Linked DNA regions of Xenopus tropicalis. The protein of the gene in region 1 binds, or shares a complex with, the protein of each later gene. Links are inferred from orthologs where the notes say so. Each region holds a gene or a part of one and is shown on either strand. Other genes may lie near its edges.

Region 1 (3,755 bases):
ATTGCCTTGTAATATTTTACTAAGAAATACCAGAAGTTGTCATTATTTTTTATTATTAATAAGAAAGAAAACATGATTATTTCACTTTAAAGATAATATAGGCTTCTGCGAGTGAGCTTCCATATTGGCAGCCAATATGCTAGAGATTGTAGTTATTATCATCTCCAACGTGCTATCCCAGGGATAAACAACATTGTTCCCACAGGAATTCAGTTTGCCCTGCCCCTCTCTTGCTCTAAGTTATGACTGCAGGGTTCTGTGAATCAATGGCTGGAAAAGACACCAACTATACAATAATATTGCGATATAAGAACATATAGTTCCGGCAGATATATGCGCATGGATACACAAGGAGCCAGTTGACTGCCTTTTGGTATAACGGGCTGAGCAGATCCATGTTCTGCGCATGCGCGGGGCTATTCCCACGGAGAGACAATAGCGAGTGAGAGGTGAGGAGGAGGGGCTCCGGGTGCGTACGCGATGCACAGGGCGAGAAACCTGACTCAAGGGGAGGGGCCGCGCCTGCGCGTCATTCTGCCGTTACCCGGAGACGGCGCAAGAAAAAGCCCGTTCTGCGCCAACCGCGAATTCGGTTGTGCTGGGCGGGATCAAAGGGAGAAGGGGGGAGCGCCAAGCGATGCCCCGGAGGAAGGTGAGATGCATGGGATAGGAAAATGGAAGCTGCGTATGGGGGTGGGCGTGTGCCCCTGGTGTGGCGTGGGCCTCTTCTGGACACTGCACTGGAAGAATGCTGCGTGTAGGCACTGGCTATTGTGCAGAGCATACGGCGCTATTTTTGCTTTGCCTGCAGCAGCCTCCATGTGAGAGATACAGTCAAACCAAGGCCTGTTGTGGGTTAACTCGTGAGAGGCGGCGATTGGATACTTGCGTTCCATCTTATGTTGTGGTTGGCTGAAATGTGCTCTGTGCAGCTGTGGATTGGACGCAGTTTATGTCTGTCAGGACTGGCGCCTCATTGATTCTCATGCGCGCCAATTACTTGCTGGTCCCGCCTTCCTCTCGTTACTGATTGGTTGAGGTGGTTTAATAGCAGTCGCTATTGTAGTATGTTGTTCCTGTCGGTGCCGCTATAGTCCGTCGTTGGATTGGTTTGTGCGATCACTGCAAGGTTTTCTATAGGCTGCCGATAATTAAGGGCGTGGTATAAACAAAGGAAGTAAGGAAGCAGTGTTGGAAAGCATGGAAACCTAATTGAGGTACATTCAGTGTTTTGCTTCAGCTGTTTGTATAACATGGAGTGTTACAGGTGTATATTCCCGTACAAGTACATCTGAGTATAATTTATTTCACAGAGAAATCATTTTCATTTTTCTGTTGCTCTCCATTTTGGAAACGGGCAGCTATGTGGTTAGGTTCCCATTTGCCTTACGAACCAGGGACTTGAGGCATGGATAGAAAGATACGTAGAATACAACTTCTTGCTGGGGTTAATGACCATTTTAAAAAGAATAGGGTTTTATCAGCTAATAGTTAATGCAAGGGTGAACTATCGCTTTAATACATCTGCATGCCTCATATTCGCTGAGATACAGAATACTCTGAGATATATGGAGAATGCTTTTAGCAAGTGGCTGTGATAAAATACTGAAAATCCCTTGCATTGAGCATGTTTGAGCAATAGAATTCATGCCTCCGCAGGCACAGGGCTAATCCAATGTTTATAATTAATGGCATATCCCTACTGAAAAGGTAATTTCACACAGGTGACACCATTACCCTTAGTAACATAGTAACATAGTAAGTTGGGTTGAAAAAAAGACATACGTCCATCACATTCAACCATAATGCCTATATATAACCTGCCTAACTACTAGTTGATCCAGAGGAAGGCAAAAACCCCATCTGAAGCCTCTCTAATTTGCCGCAGAGGGGAAAAAATTCCTTCCTGACTCCAAGATGGCAATCGGACCAGTCCCTGGATCAACTTGTACTAACAGCTATCTCCCATAACCCTGTATTCCCTCACTTGTACTGAGAGCTATCTCCCCTACCCCTGTATTCCCTCACTTGTACTGAGAGCTATCCCCCTACCCCTGTATTCCCTCACTTGTACTGAGAGCTATCTCCCATACCCCTGTTTTCCCTCACTTGTACTGAGAGCTATCTCCCTTACCCCTGTATTCACTCACTTGTACTGAGAGCTATCTCCCCTACCCCTGTATTCCCTCACTTGTACTGAGAGCTATCTCCCCTACCCCTGTATTCCCTCACTTGTACTGAGAGCTATCTCCCTTACCCCTGTATTCACTCACTTGTACTGAGAGCTATCTCCCCTACCCCTGTTTTCCCTCACTTGTACTGAGAGCTATCTCCCTTACCCCTGTATTCCCTCACTTGTACTGAGAGCTATCTCCCCTACCCCTGTATTCCCTCACTTGTACCGAGAGCTATCTCCCCTACCCCTGTATTCCCTCACTTGTACTGAGAGCTATCTCCCCTACCCCTGTATTCCCTCACTTGTACTGAGAGCTATCTCCCCTACCCCTGTATTCCCTCACTTGTACTGAGAGCTATCTCCCTTACCCCTGTATTCACTCACTTGTACTGAGAGCTATCTCCCCTACCCCTGTATTCCCTCACTTGTACTGAGCGCTATCTCCCATAATCCTGTATTCCCTCACTTGTACTGAGCGCTATCTCCCATAATCCTGTATTCCCTCACTTGTACTGAGAGCTATCTCCCCTACCCCTGTATTCCCTCACTTGTACCGAGAGCTATCTCCCCTACCCCTGTATTCCCTCACTTGTACTGAGAGCTATCTCCCCTACCCCTGTATTCCCTCACTTGTACCGAGAGCTATCTCCCCTACCCCTGTATTCCCTCACTTGTACTGAGAGCTATCTCCCCTACCCCTGTATTCCCTCACTTGTACTGAGAGCTATCTCCCCTACCCCTGTATTCCCTCACTTGTACTGAGAGCTATCTCCCCTACCCCTGTATTCCCTCACTTGTACTGAGAGCTATCTCCCTTACCCCTGTATTCACTCACTTGTACTGAGAGCTATCTCCCCTACCCCTGTATTCCCTCACTTGTACTGAGAGCTATCCCCCCTACCCCTGTATTCCCTCACTTGTACTGAGAGCTATCCCCCCTACCCCTGTATTCCCTCACTTGTACTGAGAGCTATCTCCCCTACCCCTGTATTCCCTCACTTGTACTGAGAGCTATCTCCCATAATCCTGTATTCCCTCACTTGTACTGAGAGCTATCCCCCCTAACCCTGTATTCCCTCACTTGTACTGAGAGCTATCCCCCCTAACCCTGTATTCCCTCACTTGTACTGAGAGCTATCTCCCATAATCCTGTATTCCCTCACTTGTACTGAGAGCTATCCCCCCTAACCCTGTATTCCCTCACTTGTACTGAGAGCTATCCCCCCTACCCCTGTATTCCCTCACTTGTACTGAGAGCTATCCCCCCTAACCCTGTATTCCCTCACTTGTACTGAGAGCTATCTCCCCTACACCTGTATTCCCTCACTTGTACTGAGAGCTATCCCCCCTACCCCTGTATTCCCTCACTTGTACTGAGAGCTATCCCCCCTAACCCTGTATTCCCTCACTTGTACTGAGAGCTATCCCCCCTAACCCTGTATTCCCTCACTTGTACTGAGAGCTATCCCCCCTAACCCTGTATTCCCTCACTTGTACTGAGAGCTATCTCCCCTACACCTGTATTCCCTCACTTGTACTGAGAGCTATCTCCCCTACCCCTGTATTCCCTCACTTGTAC
Region 2 (3,655 bases), on another chromosome or scaffold:
TATCTGCCATAGCAACATAGATTTTTTAAAAAAACTATTCAATGATGAGGGTTTGCTCTGTGTTTTATGCACTTTATTCTGTGTTCTCCCCTCGTCCCATAGGATTTTTGCAATATGATACACATGCCACAAAGTCCTGTCAATAAGATGCCAGCTGGACAAAACAGCAGAGTGTTCCTGTTGCAAATTCATGAAACTAGCAGTATAAATTGCTAATATAAGAACTAGTAAATGTAACTGCAAACGTTCTCAAAAAAGCATTCTAAGTATTTCTAAATTAAGTTGCTTGGGTAGGTATAATTCCCCTTCACCTGTATTGTCACTTGCCTATCTCAATTTCAAGTTAGTGACCAAGTCAAAATGCTCAGTCTCTATGGGCTCCATCTTCTCCTCCATTAGTACAGTTTATAAGTGCTGACTTGTGATGTTTGGGTTCACCCACAACCCACTGGACCTGCAGGTCTACCCTTAGGTTAGGGTTGAAATTTTTTGTGAGTTGTGGTTGGGTGCAAGTGAAAGTGGGGAGGCACACTCTTCCTCTCCTCCAGAAGTCTAACTGTCTTGGAACCTAAGGCTACAGAAGTAGTGTACAAAGTGGAAAGATGTGGGTACAGGTTGGGTGCGAGTCCTACAATGGCAGCATATTGTGGGTTAGGTTTTGCAGGTTAGGGTTGGGTGTGGGTCAACGTTCCCTCTAATTTTTTATAGGCTGTGTGCGCAAAAAATATCATCCGTGCGCATTTTAAAGCAAGATTAAATTTTTGTGCGCTACAGAATGTTTGTTGGAGTTCAGTTATGGGCATTTTTGCGCAGGTCTTTCAGTTTGTCTAAATCAAGTTACAAAAATTTAATTTTTGTGCGCGCTATTTTAATTTGTGTGCGCGGGTTCGGAAAGTCATGTGCGCGCGCACACGCGCACAGCTTAGAGGGAACAGTGGTGTGGGTTAAGTTTTCCTAGCCTGCATATCACTAATGCTGGTGTCTCTGTGATTTCCTTTACCAGTTCATGTACAGGTGTTTTGCCACCGATATGGGTTTAAGCAGTTTAGCTACCATCAAGTAAAAGGTATGGTTTTAGTACTACAGAGAAGAAAGGGTACAAAAATATTATTTGCTTAAAACTGACTCTATGAAAGATGGCCTTCTGGTAATTTGGAGCTTTCTGGATTTTTTGTTTCCAGACAATAGATTCTATACCCGTATTATTTAACATTTACCCTGATTAACACCTTACAGTATGCTGTCCACAGAGATCCAAAAAGCATCAGAGGGGAGTCTCACATACCTCGGCAGATTTCTTTCCATCATCGGCTGTACATTTGCCTTTACCCTTATGCTGGAAGCAGGAGGAAAATGATGTAGAAGGACCTAAATTAATGGGAAAAAAACCTGTATTAACAGAAAGTATACATTTTACGGTTTACAGCTATTAAATAATCTATATAAAATTATTTAATAGCTGTAAACAGTAAAATGTATACTTACACTTGGTCAGCAAGTGTAAAAGTGTATATATACTTAGGTTTTAATAAGGAGATCTACATGAAATCTAGTTAACCCTAAAAGCTGAAATTAGGACTCACACTTCAGTTATGTATTAACTGTGCTCTAGTTGCACACTTGCAAAAATTGGGAAGCTCTTTGGAAACATTTTTTTTTAACTGCAATTAAAGGATGCACAGAACTGTGGCAAGGTGGCAGGCTTGGATTGAGATTTGAAATAAGCCCTGGCATTTGAAGTACACAGAGGCCCAAATAGCCCCCCACCAGGCCAATAAACAGTAACGGTCTATGGCATCTTAATGCAGCCCCTCACGCATTTGCCAGAATCCAGGCCTGCAAGATGGTGCAAAAAGAGACAGGACTTCTGCATTGCAGCCCTGGGGTCCTAGGTTCAAGTCCAGCTAACAGACAATCTGAAAAGGAGTTTTTAAATTCTCATCATGTTTGCATGGTTTTCCTTCCACACTCCTAAAATATACAGCATGTTTACTGGCTTCTGATAAAACTGACCACAGTATGTGTGCCTGCCATAGGGTCCTTAGTCCTATAAGATCAACTGGGACAGGAACTGGTATCTCTATAAAATGCAGCAGAACATGCTGATGCTATATGAATTATGATTATAATAACAACTACCCATAATGAGGTGTAACACGGTGCATTATTACCAGGTATAAAGTTCATGAAGACAAGGTTAAAAGATGTTAAGAGAGAATAATGACTGGGACAAAAAGAATGAACGGCCAAGAACCATAAGGACATTCATGTAAAAAAGTCACTGACTTGATCCTTCCACACTGATTGATTTTTTGGCCTATCTATGGGGCTTTTGGGAGGCCCTGCACGACTTAAAGCAGGCAGATGTGAAAATTCAGACTGGCAAGGACTACAGCCCATTTCAACATATATTGCCAGTTAATTTATGAGTAATGTGAACATCTGTGAGATGAAACTGGATCACACCAATTGTGACTTTCCTTTAAAAAATCTCTCTTAAAGCGGACCTGTCACCCTAAGAAATAAGTCCAAATTTTTTTCTATATTGTTAGTTGAGCAAAATAAACTTTACTTACTCTATATAAATAATATAAATCTTGTTTCCTTCCGTCTCGGAATTACTCAATCAAAGCAAGCAGGCAGGCACCATTTTGTGGGCACTGTTATTAAGGCAAGCTTTGTATCATGCCAAAATCTTGTTTATGTGCCAGAATGGGGGGCCAGATGCCCTGGCTACACAATTAGATGAGGAGGGGGGGGGGGGGGAAGTGAGATGTGCAGTGACATCTAGGAAGTGCTGAATGGAAAGCTAAAGTTATTGTCTGCCCCGCCTCTATGCCTAAGGCATAGAGGCGGGGCAAGCAATATATGATTGACAGCTGTGATTTTTAAATGCCTTTATAATGGGTTTGGATGTGTTAATATAAAAATGAATTTGGGTTTCATGTTTAATTTGAACAGGACTTTTATTATACAGATTTTCATGTCTGGGTGACAGGTCCACTTTAATGCTGCTGTGTTTTGTTGTGGACTTGTCCAAGTTCCCTTCTCTATCCCCTAATGGTCCTCTGAAGAAAGAATACATTAGTTCAAAATATATTTGACAATATTATACTCACTCTCATTGTCCGAGCTGTCACTGCTGCTGAGGTTCCTGAGGCGTTTCATCCTGACGCATCCTGGACATTATAAAGAAAAGAAATGTGTGACGTTTATTGGTGTTTGAAATGAAGATGCCATCAATTTTTCTATTCATTTCTTTAATATAATGCACATATAAGGCTATGTACACCCTAAAACTCTGTAAAGACTAGTAACTATCAGTGCAGGTTATATCACGGTTAAATTCAACTCAATTTTACAGGACCCAGGGAAGGCACAGGAGTGCAATAAAATGGCGCGAACGTTTATTAAAAGGAGGTTTCTCTGCACACTATAGAGATGGTTTAATAGCCGCTACATCTGCCAAGAATGCTCTTTTTAGAGCAGTAAGTAGATACATCAAGGATGGAGCCACAGCATTGCAGATCCACCTGCTGCCTTTTATGCAAACATGTTTTAGCACCCAAAGGTCCTCTGCAGCACCATCATACTTAACAACATACAGCGGGGTATGTATCACTTGCAGGTGCGCAGGTCAATGTGTACTGTTACC
Region 3 (3,755 bases), on another chromosome or scaffold:
TAATGGATTCGGTACATCCCTAACCAAAATACAGGATTTGGCCCAAATTCCCAGCACTCTTTTGAAGGATTCAGATAACACTAAGTCCTACTGTTTAGCTAAACTGAGTTAAAACCCACAAAACTTTACTGCTTTGGACAGCTAAACATGATACTTTTTTGTTCCTAGAAGATGCAATTTTTCAATTGTTTTTGTCAGATCTGAATATGCATGCAGATTAGAGTGTTGATATTCAACAGAATCTTTTGTAAAGGATTCAGCATTCGGACAAATAAAAAAATACTTGATTTGGGGCATACCTTAGATGCACTAAAGAACCAACCACAACAAAAAAAAAAAACTAAAAAAATGAATACCTTTCACGTATGTATAAAGCTGGGGACAACTAAACAACACAGATTAATAAAGCCTTGAAAAGAAACAAACTGGCACCTCCAATTTTAACATTATTTAGGGGTTATGTAATAAAAGGCACTAAGTTTGCCCAGGAACAGTAACCAATAGCAACCAATCAGCAGGTAGAATTTACTGGTCACCTGTTTCAAAGCAAACATCCTATTGGTTGCTATGGGTTACTGCTACTGGGCAAACATAGTGCCTTGTATTACATATGGGACATGTGATCTAAACCTTTTCTCAAGAAAACCACATAAGTTTTTATAGAATTAAACATTTTTATTCAATGAATTGTAATTACTATTAAAAGAGGACCATGAAGTCACAAAATTGTACAGGGACACTTTTGTGGGACCTGACCCATAGGTTAAGAGCTGCTGCTCCCACTCACTCTCTCTATAGTGAACAATGTAACACCTATTGTAAAATATGAAGTCCCCTAGGAGATCCATGACTATATAAAAGTCATGTAATTCCAAGGTAATTTCTAACATCCTCATATTTTACAACAGGGGGTACATTATTTATTATAATACACATGTTCCAGTGAGTCACATATCACATTACTAAGCACCAACTGATGACATCACCAAGCACCATATATAAGGATATAATTTACAGGATAATCACGGCTCTTGTGTATAAGATATATTTACTGTTTACATATTTAAAACAATGTATAACATCACCTTATTTAATGGAGTTTTATTAATACAATAGCATATGTCTTTTACATAAACTGGGGCTGTACAGTATGCTCATACTTAGTAGTCCCCTCAAGTACTGTTTACTGTAAACTAAACCTCCTAATACATATATATATATATATATGTATTTATATGTTTAACCACTTCTCATTGGCGTTCTCATTGGTACTTCATTGCCTGATTTGCAAAGGATTTGGGGTTCTGCCGGATCCCAAATAGTGGATTTGGTGCATCCCTATATATTTTTGCTGAATTTTTGTGTAATTGTTCATGTGTTATATAGGAATGAGAAGTATGAAGCCGCTTTACTAAGAATATATGCATAACACCATATGAGTAATGCCAAAAATATGTGATTGGCCTTTATGAACACAGACAAGGGCAGGGGACGCCTATGAAAAAGATTCGGTTTATAACATTATGTTGAACACGAAGTTCCCGACCAAATGGCTCCAGTTAAAAAGGATATTTTGTATGCGAGGTTTCCCAGCTTTGCCAGGTTATGCCTACATTACATTACGCTGGAGGCAGCATCCAGAGCTGATCGCTTGAGGGATATACCAACACGTAAGGGGTAGGCGACAAAGCGGGAAACGGAGGTTGTTTTCACAGAGCCATTTATAAGCGGAAAATTAAGTATATATGAAACGAAGAAACAAGTGCCCCAAGAACAAACCAATGTAAAGGTGGAGCCGCCTGAGCGTTTGCTGTTATTCCCCTCCCCGCGGCACATATCGCCCCGCCAGCAGCTCCTTCCTACTAGTCCCTCAGTGAGCGGCTCTCCCGGGGGAGGGGGCAGAGGAAACACCTGCAGATGTCACGTAACTATTCGAGCGCTGGCTGATCAGCGCCACATTATGAGCAATAAGCAGAGAAAGTTTCCCGGTGCCCTAAGTGCAGCTTATTATAAAGCACCGGCTCCTTACATTCGGGTCTATCCGCAATACCCACATTAATCCCCTCTAAGCATAAAGTGTACTGCTCATAAATAATTGCGCCAAATTCACCAACTCAGTAAATGAATGACAACCTTTTCGCACGTCGCTTTATTCCGTGCAGGAACAATAACTCCCACCTCAGCGGCGGGACATTTATACATTAGTTGGAGCGCTAAAGGCTGTCACTTGTCGAATTAAGGGCTGTCCCCTGAACGTGACTACAGATCTTTCCGCCTCCGGGCATCGTCACAAGCGCTAGCGACCTTATATATTTCTATAGCGCTTAGTCGCACCCCTCTCTGGGCGGCCATGCTATATACTGTTTTATAGCGCAGGAGCTGGGGCGTTAGGGGATAGAAATTCAGAGTTTTCCTTCCGTTCTCCTTTCACCTATCCCAATAAAACTCTCGAATCTCCAACCCACCCCGCCGCCTCTGACTTCTCTCGCACTTGCAAGGGGGTGTCCAGCCCCCAGTCCCTCCTCTGCCTCTTTCTCTCCTCCCTCGGACCCCCCTCCCCTTCGTATCCCAACCCCAAATCAACCTCCTGTTTTCAGAAACCTCTTTTGACGCAGGAGAAATGGCAAATTTGAAGTACGTCATTAACATGGCGCCAAAAGCTTTTTTCCTGTAAGGTTGCTCGCTGGTGGTGCCCAACGCCTGTGCCTGGAGAGGGCTCCGCGGAAAGAAGAGTTAGCGAAGGGGCAGCACAGGGGGGGCCGGGCAAGGGGGTGCAAGTGCAACTAATGAGCACAACTGGGATAAAGTGAAGGCAAAGCAGGGGAGGAGTGCTGTGCTGGGGGATAAGAAAGTGGGCTAGGAAGGGGGAGTGAAGCCGTACTTTGGAGGAGAAGGGGTGAAAAAGAAAAAGGGGAGGGGGGAATTGGAAGAAAAAAGTGTTTTGCTGGGGAGGGAGAATCATTGCGAAACCAACCTGATCTGACTTGTAGCGCAATCCGATACTGCAGCTTTTTTTTTTTTTTTTTCTCAAAAACGTAATTTAACTCTATCCTGTCACAAACACATGAAGGATTGTCAGCTCGAACCCCCAATCAGAGAGGGACCCAGGCAGCACCCCCTCCCCTACCTGCTCCTACAGGCACCCAAAGCCCTTCCAGCATGACACTGCCATAGGACTGAGCGGAAAGTAAAGCCTCGCAGCACCCACCCCCTTTACGAGGAGCCTAACAGGGCTGCGAGCATTCATATCAACACACACACGCATCTGGGGATGGCTACGGGGATCCTGTGCAGCAGCCCAGCGAGGAAGTGTGTGTGAGAGACACAGCGGCCATCTGATACGGGAGTGAGGAACGTCCATCTCACCGGGGGAGCTTTTATTTGTGCATGACAGCCATGGAGTTACTTTGTACCCACTCCTAGAGGGAGAAGGCTGGGGAGAGCGGCTCTGGATACACTCTGCAATGATACACCGCGCACTTTCTCTGGGAGGCTCATGCTCTTTTCTGGGTTTTTTCTCTTCCCCCCACCCCCGTTGGATCCTCCCCTATTTTAACCTGAGCTAATCTCACCAGTGAGGAGACCCCCAAGCAGAGCAAGGTAACAAGCGCAGATGCGTAACCATCTGAAGGGCTGGCGGGGTGCGCGTTTGGCTTTGCTGTCAATTTGCTTTTGGCAGTGGGAGGAGGAGGGCTGACACACACACATGTATCTATATATAAGTGTATTTCTAAAATGTGCAAAGGGAGTTGCCA

What was found.
Region 2: kat7 (region 1) and jade3 share a complex: the UniProt entries of both Homo sapiens proteins name them as parts of the HBO1 complex. The link is inferred for Xenopus tropicalis from reciprocal best matches to the Homo sapiens genes KAT7 and JADE3.
Region 3: kat7 (region 1) and jade2 share a complex: the UniProt entries of both Homo sapiens proteins name them as parts of the HBO1 complex. The link is inferred for Xenopus tropicalis from reciprocal best matches to the Homo sapiens genes KAT7 and JADE2.

The regions. Positions count from the first base shown.
Region 1 is NC_030686.2:14,504,866-14,508,620, forward strand, and holds the start of kat7 (histone acetyltransferase KAT7), read left to right. Parts: upstream 1-1,101; 5' UTR 1,102-1,217; intron 1,218-3,755. UniProt on the Homo sapiens protein: Catalytic subunit of histone acetyltransferase HBO1 complexes, which specifically mediate acetylation of histone H3 at 'Lys-14' (H3K14ac), thereby regulating various processes, such as gene transcription, protein ubiquitination, immune regulation, stem cell pluripotent and self-renewal maintenance and embryonic development.
Region 2 is NC_030678.2:114,981,723-114,985,377, reverse strand, and holds part of jade3 (protein Jade-3), read right to left. Parts: intron 3,180-3,655; 5' UTR 3,169-3,179; coding exon 3,120-3,168; intron 1,390-3,119; coding exon of another isoform or gene 1,369-1,389; coding exon 1,286-1,368; intron 1-1,285. UniProt on the Homo sapiens protein: Scaffold subunit of some HBO1 complexes, which have a histone H4 acetyltransferase activity.
Region 3 is NC_030679.2:26,415,599-26,419,353, reverse strand, and holds the start of jade2 (protein Jade-2), read left to right. Parts: upstream 1-1,220; 5' UTR 1,221-3,600; intron 3,601-3,755. UniProt on the Homo sapiens protein: Scaffold subunit of some HBO1 complexes, which have a histone H4 acetyltransferase activity. Acts as an E3 ubiquitin-protein ligase mediating the ubiquitination and subsequent proteasomal degradation of target protein histone demethylase KDM1A.